Caenorhabditis elegans: one gene and its partners. The protein of the gene in region 1 purifies or fractionates together with the protein of each later gene. This does not show direct contact. Each region holds a gene or a part of one and is shown in the gene's direction. Other genes may lie near its edges.

The links.
Region 2: the proteins of smc-4 (region 1) and capg-1 purify together in Caenorhabditis elegans (affinity purification with western blotting; 2 studies listed by BioGRID, with this or other methods). This does not show direct contact.
Region 3: the proteins of smc-4 (region 1) and capg-2 purify together in Caenorhabditis elegans (affinity purification with western blotting; one study listed by BioGRID). This does not show direct contact.

The regions. Positions count from the first base shown.
Region 1 is NC_003281.10:4,585,206-4,589,974, forward strand, and holds the start of smc-4 (Structural maintenance of chromosomes protein 4), read left to right. Parts: upstream 1-2,295; 5' UTR 2,296-2,300; coding exon 2,301-2,450; intron 2,451-2,503; coding exon 2,504-2,569; intron 2,570-2,613; coding exon 2,614-2,928; intron 2,929-2,976; coding exon 2,977-3,150; intron 3,151-3,191; coding exon 3,192-3,484; intron 3,485-3,530; coding exon 3,531-4,275; intron 4,276-4,323; coding exon 4,324-4,581; intron 4,582-4,626; coding exon 4,627-4,769. Other genes in the region: F35G12.5 (SPK domain-containing protein), read left to right, coding at 1-77, 125-252, 302-426, 474-609, 660-785, 836-958, 1,004-1,099, 1,147-1,269; F35G12.7 (Divalent-cation tolerance protein CutA), read right to left, coding at 1,547-1,669, 1,714-1,801, 1,850-1,909, 1,954-2,030. UniProt on the Caenorhabditis elegans protein: Central component of the condensin I complex, a complex required for conversion of interphase chromatin into mitotic-like condense chromosomes. The condensin I complex introduces positive supercoils into relaxed DNA in the presence of type I topoisomerases.
Region 2 is NC_003279.8:7,637,417-7,642,185, reverse strand, and holds the start of capg-1 (Condensin complex subunit capg-1), read left to right. Parts: upstream 1-2,400; 5' UTR 2,401-2,422; coding exon 2,423-2,670; intron 2,671-2,711; coding exon 2,712-2,814; intron 2,815-2,871; coding exon 2,872-3,078; intron 3,079-3,126; coding exon 3,127-3,297; intron 3,298-3,355; coding exon 3,356-3,458; intron 3,459-3,801; coding exon 3,802-4,026; intron 4,027-4,073; coding exon 4,074-4,494; intron 4,495-4,546; coding exon 4,547-4,696; intron 4,697-4,751; coding exon 4,752-4,769. Other genes in the region: F26A3.1 (Lipid droplet-associated hydrolase), read left to right, coding at 419-569, 620-802, 971-1,206, 1,252-1,359, 1,407-1,590, 1,637-1,761.
Region 3 is NC_003283.11:12,268,986-12,273,754, forward strand, and holds the start of capg-2 (CAP-G condensin subunit), read left to right. Parts: upstream 1-2,887; 5' UTR 2,888-2,898; coding exon 2,899-3,203; intron 3,204-3,249; coding exon 3,250-3,960; intron 3,961-4,003; coding exon 4,004-4,385; intron 4,386-4,458; coding exon 4,459-4,769. Other genes in the region: twk-24 (Potassium channel domain-containing protein), read right to left, coding at 197-325; tsfm-1 (Elongation factor Ts, mitochondrial), read right to left, coding at 1,429-1,721, 1,768-2,195, 2,277-2,422, 2,481-2,564.

The DNA.
Region 1 (4,769 bases):
AGGAAAATCCAAAATGGCAATCGAAAGGTACATCCAAGGAATCAATCTTTTGGATAAAAAATGCATTCTTGATAATGGTGATTCTTTTCTTTTTGAGAATTGTTTATTATTTCTTTCTTTTCAGATGAAAATCACAATGTCCTGTTCAAGTTTGCGCCGATTGATCAGGACTTTGCGCATTCTTCGACAAACCTGAGCACGCCATCACCATTGGAGGAAGAATCGGCACGCGAAAACAATCACGAGGCTCAGGTAGAATGCCGAAGTTTTGGAAAATTAAAACCAAACGGGTTACCTTCAGGAATTGGATATAACTGAAAGAATTGCTCGCATGAATCTCATAGGAGGGAGCGAGTTCCAAATGCAATATTCTTCTTTCCTTACAGCAGTGTCAACGAAACCTTCAACAGATGCTAGTTTGAAAAAGTATTTTATCAAGCACCTTATGCATTTTATTATTCGGTTTTCTGTAGGGAAGCAAGACGACTCGCTGAAATTTGGTGGGCAAAAAATTTGAGATTTTTTCCGCAAACCATGTACGTGCTGCAGAAACTTGATCAGAAAAATCCAGATGGGTTTAATTACACTGATTTTGAGGAAGAGGTTCAGGTAATAATTTAATCTTATTGTTAAACAAGGGAGAAATTTAGTACGTTTAGAAAGTGATCCCAAGGTCCTGGATACAGAACCATCATTCATTTACACTCTTGTCGCTGTTGAATGAAGAGAGCCTTTACGTGAAGTTCAACTTGATAATGCCCTCGGATTCTGAGAATATGAACAGAGTAAGCTATTATATTTTGATTGGTCAAGAAAGTAAATCAATATTTTTAAGGTGAAGGTCAACCAAGTAATTAAATTTCTCGGTTTCCATGAAATTGGAGACTGTGAGTTTTCTATGATCTATCAATATGTTAGTTCAAAGTCCGCTTCAGAATCTACATACAGCATCCACAAAGTGAGAGTTTTTTTAGTGGATTTCTTTTCAACTTCGAATTTTCAGTTCATGTGTGAAGACTTTCCGGGATGGGAGACACAATACAATAACGAAAAGAAAAGCATGGATAGGATCTTTGAGATAATTATTCAGGAGCAAAAAGTAAGAATGATTGAACATATATGAGAAAACATTTCAATGTTTTTCAGTTATTTTGGACGGAATATGATTATCATACATACAAACGCCATGCATACAAGATTGCTGTCCCGATGGTCTTCTCGCTTAACATTGTAGACAAAGCTGTTGGAGTTCGAAGTGATGCTCGCTAGCTAGTTAATGATAGCCCTGTCTTTCCCGTTCAACTCGATCTCTTTGAAAAAAATTCATTAAATCACATCAGAATCGCTCGAAAAAAAAATTTGAAGCTTTCAAGACAATCCCCAAAAAAGCATGCTCAAATCGTTATTTTGGAATCTTCAAATTTTCGGAGCATTTTTTCTTATTACGATGTTTTTTTCCTTAGCCAAATCTGTTTGTATGTATTTATCAGTTCCCGTTGATTTAATGTTTAGTTGGTAGAAATAAATATGAATAAAGTTTTAAGTTTCAATGTTTCGCAGTTGAAGAATTCGTAGAATCCACAATCCATCCTCCAAAATCGGGAGTTATTTTGTCAATGGCCAGTGTGAAGAAGCACGGAGTTTCAGCCGGATGAAGAGATCGAACACGCTGAAATTGAATGAAAATCTTAGTGATCCGAAATAAAAACATACAGCTGATAGCTCTTCGACTTTGCTTTCTACAGTTTTCAAGATCACGACATGCTCTTGATCTTCTTCAATTTTTCCTTGCCATTTGTATCTGAATATCTGGATTCTCGCACAGATTTAAAAAAGATAAAATACTTACACAGATGTGACTTCCGGAATAACATTGGCGCAAGCGGCTAATGCTTCAGTGACAGTTGTTCTGAAATGAAATTATGTTTTGGTAGACAGAAAACAAAAAAATACCTTGCCACAGTCATTGCAACTTCCTTACTCGGAGCTGTCACATACGCGACAACCATTTTTACAGCGGGTGTTGTCATTTTTATTTGAAAACTTATTTTATGTTGAAGCAATTCAGAAATGTTTAATTAATTACCGTACTTCATTCTAGCTCTCGTCGTATAATTAAATGTATGGGTCGCACTTGCGCGTCACGGTGTTTGCACACACTTGTATGCGCGCCAAAATTTTGTTCGAATTTCACCGCCAATAATTGTTTAGCCGCTGCTGTCCCACTTTTTGTTTTTGTTGGGAAATGTCTTTTTCATATTAAGCACTCAAATCCTAAAAATCAACGTATTTTAGGGTTGATGCCTCCGAAGACTTCGGCGGCGCCGCCACAATCAGACGAATCTGATTCTGATTTTGATGACGCTCCTGTTAAAAAGCCGCAGAAAAAGACAACGAAGCCTGTGAACCGACACAAGGAAGGATCAAAGGACCCGGAAGAAGAACTACAGGTATCCCTCTCAGAATATTTAAAAGCAGCAATAAAACTGAAATTTTTATTCAGAGAGCGGTAAATGAAAAATTTGATGGAAGCGACGGAGAGGACGACGACAGTGATCTTTTCTCATTGGTATGTTACTCTGTTTTTAATATTAAAGTCATTACATTTTACAGCAACTGCCATCGCGACCCGATTTCCTTACAAAACCGAATCGGGCGGATCGTTTGATGATTCGCAATGTTGAAGTGGACAATTTCAAGAGTTACTTCGGCAAGGCTTCCATTGGACCATTTCACAAAAGTTTCACATCAATTATCGGTCCAAATGGATCTGGAAAGTCTAATTTAATCGATTCGCTCTTATTCGTTTTCGGTTTCCGTGCTTCCAAAATTCGTTCTGCAAAAGTGTCAAATTTGATTCACAAAAGTGCTGGAAGAAATCCAGACAAATGCACAGTCACTATTCATTTTCAGCGGATCGTCGATATTGTAAGTGAATCAGAGAATCTAATAAAATATAAATTTGCTTTTTTTCAGCCTGGGCATTACGAAGTCGTCAAGGATTCTGAGTTCACAATCTCTAGAACTGCTTTTCAAAATAACTCAAGCTCATATGCTATCGATGGTCGACCGGCAACGAAGAATGAAGTTGAAGCACGCCTACGACGCGTTGACATTGATATTGAGCATAATCGTTTTCTAATTCTTCAGGTAAAAGTGACAATAAAACCGGTAATAAACATTTTTTTCAGGGAGAAGTCGAACAAATTGCAATGATGAAACCAGTGAAAACCACCAAAAGTGAAACTGGAATGGTTGAATATTTGGAGGATATTATCGGAACAAACCGACTCGAGCCCTTTGTTAAATTATTCCAGCGACGCGTCAATCGTCTTACTTGTGATCTTTCTCAACAAAGAATCGCTCGTGATCACGCCAGAAACAGCAAAGTAGCTATGGAGAATCCAGTTAGAGCTGCAATTGAGTTTCTGATGAAAGAAAACGAGGCTACAACGATTCATATGAAATTGGAGCAAAGAAGACGGTAGTTCTGAAATATTCCAGGTTAAAATAACATTTAACGTTTTAAGGCAACGATACCTAGATAAAATTGCTCCAAAACAAGCCGAACTTGACAAGATGAAAGAAGAAATGAAATCGATTGCTGAAACGCTGGATACCAACAAAAACGAATACAAACAATCTGAGGAAGCTCAGAAAGTTATGATTGAAGAGCGTTCGAAACTCGACAAAAACTTTGATAGTCTATCTAAGGAATTGAGCGACTTGGGCACTGAAGAGACTCGCAGGAAGGAGGCTTTGAAAAGGCATCAAGCTAATATTTCAAAGGCGGAAGCTGAGAAGGAAAAAGAGGTTAAAAAGCGATCAAATCTGGAAGCAGCACCCGAAAAGGCGGAGAGAAAAATCGCAAAATGTCAGGAAGAAGTGGAACAGTTGCTTGAAATAGAGAAAACAGCTAACGAGGAAGCCGACAAGAATCTTGATGAATTTGAAAAACGCTCTGAAGCGCCAAAAGAAGAACAAAAGAAGATTCAAGAGACTTGGGCGCAGAAGAGCAACGAATTTAACAAAGTTCGAGGTGAAGCAAGGATTGCACGGGAAGATTTCGAGGATTTAAAGAAGCTCGCGAATTCTGGAACGGATAAGCTTATCGAACTGAAGAAACGATTAGAATCTTCAGAAGAAAGTTATGCGAAAGAGAAGGATGAGTTAGATAAGCTGAAGCCGGAATTTGATTCTTGGAATGATAAGTTAAAACAACTGAGTACAGAATTGCCAACTCTTCGAAATACGGCAAGACAGAAGAATCAAGATGTAGGTTTTCAAAAAGCCTGATAAATTTAAATAAATCCTATTTTACAGTTGGCAAAAACGCGTGATCGTCTCGAAACTCTTCGCCAGCAAAACTCGTCTTGCTCAAGTTCGAATAAAGTTATTCAAGCCTTAATGAAGGAAAAAGAAGCTGGAAGAATTAAAAGTTTTCACGGTCGTCTTGGTGATCTCGGTGTCATTGATCCGAAATATGAGGGAGCGATTTGCACAAATTTCGGGGCCCGTCTCAACTATCTTATTGTAGGGAAAGAAGAAGATGCAAAAAATGTCATCAATTTTTTAGTTGCTGTAAGTTTTATAACCCTCATTTTCTAGGAATACATTGGTTTTCAGAATAAATTACCTCGACAAACTGTTCAGCCATTGGACAAAATTAAGTGTGATAAGAGAGATTTAGCTCCCAATCCGACGAACCCATTACCTGCTCCTCGTCTTATTGATCTGATTGATTGTGATCCTGTTCTTAAACCAGCATT
Region 2 (4,769 bases), on another chromosome or scaffold:
GTTATTAGGTCATTTTTGTTACAAAATTTCACAATTTTAATGGATTTCTGCTTAAAAGGTGAGCATTTGTGACTAAAAACTAGTGATCTCCAATTGAAAATAGCCGTTCGAAAATTAGTGCTGCAGCCTCCAGTAATACTGCAGTCTCTAATAGTGCTGCACTCAAAAAGGGCCTGGAAATTAGTGCTGCATGCAGCACTAATAGAGAATATACGGTATCTCTGTTTCCATCTTGTTTTAACGTTTTATTTATTTTTCTGTTTGTGTTTTCTTCTCCAAACTTGAGATAAAGCCATCTTCCTCCATCGATTTTTTACAGATGTTTAAAAATAATTATTGAGGCAGGTGAAAATTTCCCAACACAATATCATTCTTTCTAACCGCATTTTTCCAGTTTTTCTTATTTATTTACATATAGATGACCTCAATTCTTCGAAAAGTGGAATGGGTTCGAGTAGCAGGGAAATGGACGAAAATGTCCGTCATGGGGTTGGATATTTCAGACGAAACGCTGAAAATTCAGAAGAAAAAGGAGAACGAGAATCGAGTGATTATTTTAATGATTCCAGGTAAATCGGGAAATTGCGCTTTTAAAAATTTAAGAAAATTTTAATTTCAGGAAATCCCGGAAACGAAGGATTCTACGCTCATTTCGGACGAGAAGTTTTGCAAAATTTGATAAAGAAAGATGAAGATGAGCAGAAAAACTTGAAAAATCAATATTTATTCTACACAGTTTCAAGTCTCAATCATGTTCGAATGCCAGATCATTTGAAAGATGATGGAGAACATCGAAATCATGGTAATAAATACAAATAAAACGAAGAACCGTTCACTCCAGCCTTTTAACTTATTTAGTTTCGCCGATTTCGCAGTATTTTTCGCCCTTTTGTTTTTTTTTCAAATACCTAACGAGACTCATGGATCCGGTGCGGAGCGCGTTTTTACGTCGATTATAATATATTTCCAGACCGAATTTCTCTGGAGGAACAAGTCAATCACAAACTATCATTTGTGAAAGAGCACCTGCCACGTGGAAAGCAACTGTACATTTTGGGGCATAGCATTGGTTCGTATATGATGTTAAGAATCATTCCTGAAGTGATAAAAGAAGGATTCCACGTGGAAAAAGCTGTTGGACTGTTTCCAACGATAGTTCATATGGCAAACTCACCAAATGGGAAACGATTACATGGAACTTTAGCTGTAAATTCAATTTCTTTATTTTAATTTTTAATTGTAAACTTTCAGACATTGAACCATCATGATTGGCTCACAAAAACGATTTGCTGGTGGGTGGATTACCTGCCAAACTCGATCAAAAAATTTCTTGTTGGATTGAACCTGAGACATCCTAATGTAAATTTTTTTTTGAATGTCAAGCAACAAAAAACATAATTTTTCAGACTCCCCCAGAGATCGTCGATGCGGCAGTTGAGCTTGTCCATATGGATGTGTTCAGAAATATAGTTCACATGTCAAACGATGAACTTGATATCGTTTTAGACCTAGATGAGCGTCTTTTGGAAAAACAAGACGTGGTTCATTTCTATTATGGCCTCAAGGATGGATGGTGTCCAGTGCAGCATGGTATTGACCTTGAAAACGTTGTGTAGATTGAAAATAAAATTTATAGGATACTCCATGCGGGACAGACTTGGTGAGGAGCAGGTCACATTGGACGAAGACAATTGTGAACACGCTTTTGTTATTTCTGAAGGAGACATTATGGCGAGAAATGTTATAAAATATTTCGATTGATCAGTTGCTCCGAGTTTTCCGTACTTCAACCTGTGATTGCATTACCTAGAATTTTATCTTTTAATAAATATAAAAATATTTGCACATTTTATTGTTTTTCCTTTTCTATGTGTTTGTTTCTAACACCTGTTAATATTTCTTCAATTGATTAATTGATTTTATTTAAGTATTTAACAGGAGCTCTAGTTATTACTGCCAGGATTAAGTGGTGACGAAACAAACTTTATTGCTCTCTACTGAATTCTAGTCTACTTAGGCTTAGTAAACATTAAAAAACCCCTTTTCAATTCCGAAAGTTCCGTTTTTAAATAAAAAATAAATAAAACGGCGCGAAAGCATGTGCGCTCTAATGCAAATTTGAAATCGAAGAGAGCGAAACAGCAGATTGGCGTGCTCTAGTCGTTTCAGTCATTACCTCGTTCTTTTGTTTCTTTGGAAACTGTTTTATACACGAGTCTTTAAATGTTTAAAAAGATATTTTGTAATTTTCCATTTTTGGGACATATACAGATCATTTGTCGCCCCGGTATTTTCACTATCAGTGGAAATGCAGAGAATAACAAGATATTTTAACAATTCGACATGTGTTATTCTTTTTCTGAATGTCTATCTTTTTGTTAATTCATTTCAATTTTCAAATTTTCAGTAACCCACCCCTCTCATGCCACCGAAGAAGCGAATTCGCGGGCCGAAGTTGCCAGCACTTCGTGAGGAAAAATCAACTGGTACAGATGTGGCTTCAGATGAATCATTCAACGAAAGTGCTGATTTTTTGAATAATGAAGAATTAAACAATGATCAAAACGATGCGGAAAATACAGTTTTGAGCGAAGGTGTATCCACTCTTAGAATCAATGAAAACATGACAAAAGAGGATCGAGCTTGTATTTCTGCAGCACTTTTCATAAAGTAAGTATCAAAATGAAAAAAAAAACTAAAGTATTTTATAGAAAAAGAGTCGTAGAATCAATTCGAACAGTTTTTCAATCTCGTGATGATATTAATGATGAAATACATACCAGTTCGCGGAAACTGATTGCAGCATTTAAAAAGGTTAATTTATTTTAAAAATCGAAATAAAAATAATTTTAAAAATTATCCAATTTTCAGGCTGATCAGAATCGTAAGAAAAAGGTCGATTTAATGAAAGTTTTCCTTGATGAAATAGATGTCCGACTTTCAATGATTATCGAAGAGGTGACTGTTCCTGAGCATCGGGCTCGTGTCTTTAAATTAATCGCAGTGACAATAACTGAAATTCAAGCTTTCAAGCTTCCATCGGATCTCCTCGATTTTATTATCAATTTTATTAACACTGTGAGTATTCAATTTAATAAAAATCCGCATAATAAAACTTATTTTCAGTGGGGACATAGTGATAATGTTGCTGCGAGAATTAACACGACCTGCTTCATCAGTTATATATTCGAGACAGGGAAACGATATTTAACAACTGAGGGTGAATATTCTGGATTTGAAGTCAAGATTGCAGCTAAAATGTTTTTACAATTGAAGAGAGCACTGCTTGACAAGGAGGTTTGTTTCATTCAAAAGTTGATTCAATTCTGAAAAGCTGAAATTGAACTTTTTTCAGCAAACCGCCAGAGTTCCAGCTATTCGAGGCCTAGGATTCTTGCAAGAAATACCAATTCCATCGAATTGGCCAGTAGATGCTATGAAACATTCACCAAGAGAACGTAAGTTTTCAAACTTTTATAAAGGCGCACTAAATGAAGCAGCCGTAGAATTCAAAATTAAACTACCATATATTTTTTGGATCAAAGCACAAAAAAATTTATGGTAGTTTAATTTTGAATTTTGCGGCTGCTTCATTGTTTTTTCCTTGCATTTTACTGTTCAAAGTTGTTGAAAATCAGTTTTTTAATCCTTTTCACAGGAAAAACAAACATTTTAAATGAAAAATTCATACGTATTTTGAAACTTGGCCCATATAAAGAAATCCGTGCGCCTAGCATGCCAAGGTGTTGTGAAATTACTATACAATACCAGCGTTTGTTCTTTTTAAATTACAAATTTCAGTTCTTCTCCGTTCCTGTAGAGACACAGCATGGGAATGCCGACTTGTTGCAGTTCAATCAATGGTACCATTAGAAACAGATGTTAGACTACTTTCAGACATTGTCTATTATGACAAGTGTCTCAATGTTCGTGTCGCAGCACTTGAACAGTTTTCAAACCTCAGGCCAAACAAACATGTTCGCGAAAAAATTGAAATGCTTGATTTATGCCTGAAAGACCATGAAGGTTTGTTTGTAATTTATGACTAATGATATTAAATTGTAATTTTCCAGTAAATATTCGAGATGCGGCAAAGGAAGTTCTGAAGAATTGGGTTCGTAATTTGTCAACGAGATGGAGCGAAAGTCAAAAGAGCAAAGATTCCAATGATGTTGTCATTTTGAATTCTAATTCTGAATCCACAACAGGAGAAGAGAATAAAATGAAAGGATATATTCTTGCGGCCCAAGCACTTACATTGCTATGGCTAACGGGTGCTCTTGAAACATTGGAAGGTCACTCAAACTTGAGACGATTGATAACTCATACACTTGATGTTATTCGTCAAATGTACGTCTGTCAAGCGGATCCGATTAACACATTCGCAGAGGTTTTAATTAGCGATTTGAGAGAAAAAATGAAGTCAAGTGCGGTGCCGATTATTACTAAAAGTACTGTTGGATCAATTTTAGATGACAGCGAGCTTGCTGATACGTGAGTTTCTTGCTGGATTCATGGTTTTTTGCAGCAAGATTATCATTTTCAGACAAGATCCAAGCACCAATCGAGCCATGATCTTCTTTTGGAGATGTCTTGTTGATTATATTTCCGATAGAAAACGGAATGATGCTGATAAGATAAACGCCATGTCACGTTTCGTCAGTCCATTGCGCACTATGGTAGAGCATGTGGAAAAGTATGATTTTCTTACTATTTGTTTTATAAGAGTAACAATTAATTTTATTTTTCAGAATTCTCGTTCGAGTCAA
Region 3 (4,769 bases), on another chromosome or scaffold:
GAGCTTTCTTGCATAATAAAACCCTACATTCCATATTGAAACAAAATAAATTAAACTATTTTAGTAAATTATAAAATTAAAAAGAATTTATTTTTGGTCAATTTCCAAAACTATTATAAGTGAGTACAAAAACTTATTGAGCTCTAAAGAACTTAAATGCACATCTTACAGTAAGTTTCCTAGATGATGTAAGTACCTTATTAAAACTGGGTAAACTTTTAGACATGTTTCCAAGACCTCGATTCATTCGATCTTTCCATTTACTATCTGCACTTTTGCTCCTTCCAGCAACAATTTTATCATCTTTCTTTGTGGTTCCATTCATATCACCTTCTGAAACAAAAACAATGAGAGGATAAGTAGGTGATAAGTTGATGATAAGGAAGTGGTAATAACATAAAAATCAATGAACTCTAGAGAAACAAAAAACAATTGGATCACAGAGAGATGGAAAAGAATGCTCTTATCATTATCTTTTCTCTATCTTGAGAAGAGTGTGAATTTCCCAAAGAATCCCACAGGAGCAGGAGAGAAAGACACGGGCGAAAAAAAAACAGCAGAAAACGCAAAACGCATGATATTCTCTTTGTGTATTCTTTTACTTCTACCTTTACAACAGCGGTGCTCTCTCAAAGAGAGCACATAGGCGTCACGTCTTGATACACATTTGATGATGAAAAGGAAAAATGACGATGAGAAATGAGGAAGCTTGAGAAGAAAACCGAAGAAGAAAGATTGGGGTTTGTTGAGTTGTGTTCCTTTGGAATGTGGTATGAGAACTTGAGAAATGGGAACATCTGGAATATAAAACTATGAGGAATGTTCGGTGATCTTTCGTATTTTTTGCCATGTCAATGGAACTGAAACCGTCTAACTTGATGATAATGACCAAGATAGTCCCTTCAGTTTTGGAACAAGAGTAACAGACTCAGCAACAATATTTGTTTCAGATTGTCTTGATAAATTGCCAAATCTAAGAACGATACAATTTAGAACAATATCGCATGTTTCAACAAAGAGCTCAGTGATACTACAGTACACCTACATCACCAATTACTCCTACAGTACCAATACAGTACCCCAAAAATATATATGTTTTCTGAGTGTTCTCAGCAGTTTTCTCGTATTTTTACTATATTACAACAATTGTTTTAAATTTTCGCGGATTGTGACCTTAAAATACATTTGATTTCGACAGAAATCCGAGTGACCATGAATTTCTGAAATAAAATAAATGCATTTTAATCGTCTTCTTGTTCAATTGTTTTCCACGGAGGAATGTTCTGAAAATTGCAAATGTTTATTTTTTAAACTTTAAATTCAATTTATATGTCGATAAATTTATTTATCGATTAACAAAACAGAGAAACAAAAGCATTCTAAAAACTAATAAGGCATGAAAATAAAGTTACTACCACTTTTATCTAATTATTCGCTTCCAAGCTCTACACGAACAAAATCGAGAATGTTAGCATTGTGGGATTTTAGGTACTCATGAACAGATTGAGATGGATTCAACATGAAGGCTTGGCGGAGAAGAGCAGTTTCCGATTCATCAATATTAGTTACAACAACTGGATCAGCATTTGGATCATGCCCTTCTTGACTACGAAGCCCTTCTTGAGTTTTCACAGATTCTGCAGCTTCGCCGAGGGATTCCGGGGACATTCCGATAATGTGCTGGCATATCTGTCCGGCAAGTTGCTGACTACTGATTGACCCTGTAAATGTTAAGACTTAATTTTTTACTTTATTTCTTTGTTTCACCTGGACTCGATTGATTTAGAGCGATGAGTGAAATGAACCGTCCCATCGGGATATCATCAGTTCCATCTTTAGGATGTGAAGCTCCAAACAAAGTTGTTCCTTCGGGAGCTTTAAAAGCCTTAACTCTTCTCACTGTCATGTTCTCACCAAGCTTTCCGATTGAAAGGGAGAGCACTTCACGCATATTTTTTCCGTCGGAATCGGTCAGATCCCCAAGATCATAGGTGAATTCTTGAAGTTTTGAGCCGCTCGATATAGATTGTGGCTTAGCTTTTGCGAGAACAGAGTTGGAGATGTTTGACAACAAATCCTTGAAAGCTCCAGATCGCGCCACAAAATCAGTTTCACAACTGAGTTCTACCACAGCTGCTGTTGAGTTGTCCGTGACTACAGATACAAGACCATTCGATGTTACACGAGTTCCAAGTCTGGAATATTCTATAACTATTAAAATAATTCCTTGTGAAGTCAACATTCCAAATTAAAAAAATTTCAAAATAAACACTTACTTTGCCGCTTTGGCCCATCCTTCCTTCGCTGCAGCTTCTTTCAACCATTTTACAGCACTATCCATATCATTTTCGCCAAACTGAATAAGTGCTTTACGACAATTCACATAACTATAACCAGTCTTTTTTCGAAGAGCCATTAGAGCCTGAAAAACAATTATTTTTTATTTTTTAAAATTAATTAGGGTTCCTAGATTTTAATACCTCTTTAGAGACTTTCTTTTCGGCCTCAGCCAAGTTTCGACTAGTCGTTGATAGTAGACGTACAAATGGAGCTCTAGCAAACATTTCTAAAATTGGAAACTTTAGTTTTCAGTCAATATTGATAATTATTTTAAGAGAATAAAGCAAATTATGCAATTTTCTGGGCATTTTTTGCATTAAAAAATGAAAAGGCAAGTGCGCCCCAATGAGAAAGACGGCCGCGCGAAAGAATTCGTTTTGAACATAACAAGGAAAATGTGTTTCTTTTTTTTTAATTGCGAGGTAAATTATATTATTGAATTATTTTATTGATTATTTATAATTATTTTTAGGTGAAAACTTTAATACTATTATTTTTTGCTATTTTTTTGTTGAAATAAATTCTATAATTCCATAGAAATTTTCAGTAAAGAGATCAATGCCGAAGAGCAATCCGGTAACACCTAACAAACAACCATCAGAAGACTGGAATGAGTTACTCACAGAGTTCCGTGGAAAAGGAGGTCGGGCTCTTCAGAAAACATTCATCAGAAAATTGTGGGCAGTTCAAGAAGATATTATTGCCAATGCAAATCCATCGACTCTTCGGTGTATTTTCTTCGCACCAGCCTTGTTGATTTGTCCGGAAGGTATAAAATTATCAGCTGAAATTCTCCCAAAAATTGGTGTTGGAAATGGACTGATACTACTCGAGAAGTTAATACTAAAGTTCAATCTCACCGAGTAAAGTTTATACGCTGAAGAATTCCATTTATATATATTTTTGCAGCACTGAATGTCAAAGGTATGGTGAAGTATTCGTCACAGCTTGGAGAAATGCATATCAGGAGGCTAACTTTGATTTGACAGAGGAATTGGAGACCGATGTGATCAGTGTCATGTGTCAGCATGCATTATATGCTCACAGGCCTACCTGCACTAAATTTCAAAATGTGATTGCCGCATTTGCACACGCGAAAAAACTGGACAAAAGTGTAGATGAAATGGTGACAAGGCTTCTCAATGGATGTCTTTACCGAGCGCTGGACGCTCCAAATTACATTGTACAGTCATCAGCTGCAGAAGTATTTTTCAATTTTTACCCACTAATTGGCGAGGATACTGAAGACATGGATAGGATAATGGAAAACCAACATCGATATATGATGGACTTATTACGTAGTGATGTTATTTCCATTCGAAGCGAAGCCACGAAACATGTCTTGAAGGCAATCAGCGAATTCTGGCTTCTTATTCCAAAAAATATCGTGAAGGAACTCATGGGATACATCATTGATACAGTCGCGAAAGACACTGTTGTCAGCGTCCGCGTCGCCGTTTTTGAAGGTCTTAATGAAATGGCATTTGTTCCGGCATGTCTCACAGCATTCGAATATGGATTGAAATGTGCCGTTGATCCAGCACTACAGGATAAATCTGAACGAGTTCGTCTTGCTGCTTACCAAATAATTTCTCGTCTGAAGAATCATAAATTTATTAGGTAAAATGAACCCAAATCAACAAACTAAAAAATAAATTTTCAGTGTGTTCGATATCATTACTCGAGATGATGCCATTGCGAAACTCGATCTGGAAAACGTAGAGACCTGCCGCCGTCAACTGATTCCAATTATGCATATTTGTCTTCCTATCTCGAAAAGTCTGGATGAAGCATACTATCGTCCTCGTGTCAACTACATGTTAGGAAAAAGTCGATTGGCTCTTTTGAGTTACTTCCGATTGCTTGGCCCAATGAAAATCATTGATGCATCCCAAGCATCCAAACTTATCGAAATGTTTATAACCTGGGCATATCGTTATCTTCGTAAAAAGGATGGCCCTCCATTACCAGAGACTGCCGAAGGATACAAAAAAGCGAGAGCTTATCTTGAGTGTGCTCTCATTCTGTACATGTCATGCAAAGGAGTTAGTTTTCTATTTCTCAAATTTAAAATTGAAGACCTTTTTTAAAACATTATAAACTTCTAAACTTTTTCAGATGCTGATGTCAGATGGCGATGGAACTTCAAAAGCGAAATGTGATCAAATATTTGGAAAAGTTGTCAAGGAAATATTTGAAAAATACGCCAACACTCCTATTCTCGGAACTGCGACAGCAATCAGCAGTGTCATTCCTAAAGATTACCTTAAATCAATTGCTAATGATGTTCTCGCAAGACTGGAAGACGACGATGTTCCTCCAGAAGCAGTTGAGCCGTTTCTTGAATCTGCAATTCATTTCAACCCGGATTCTGTTTTTGATTCATTCGATAGTGGGCTTAATGTTCTTGTAAATTTGTATGGAACGAA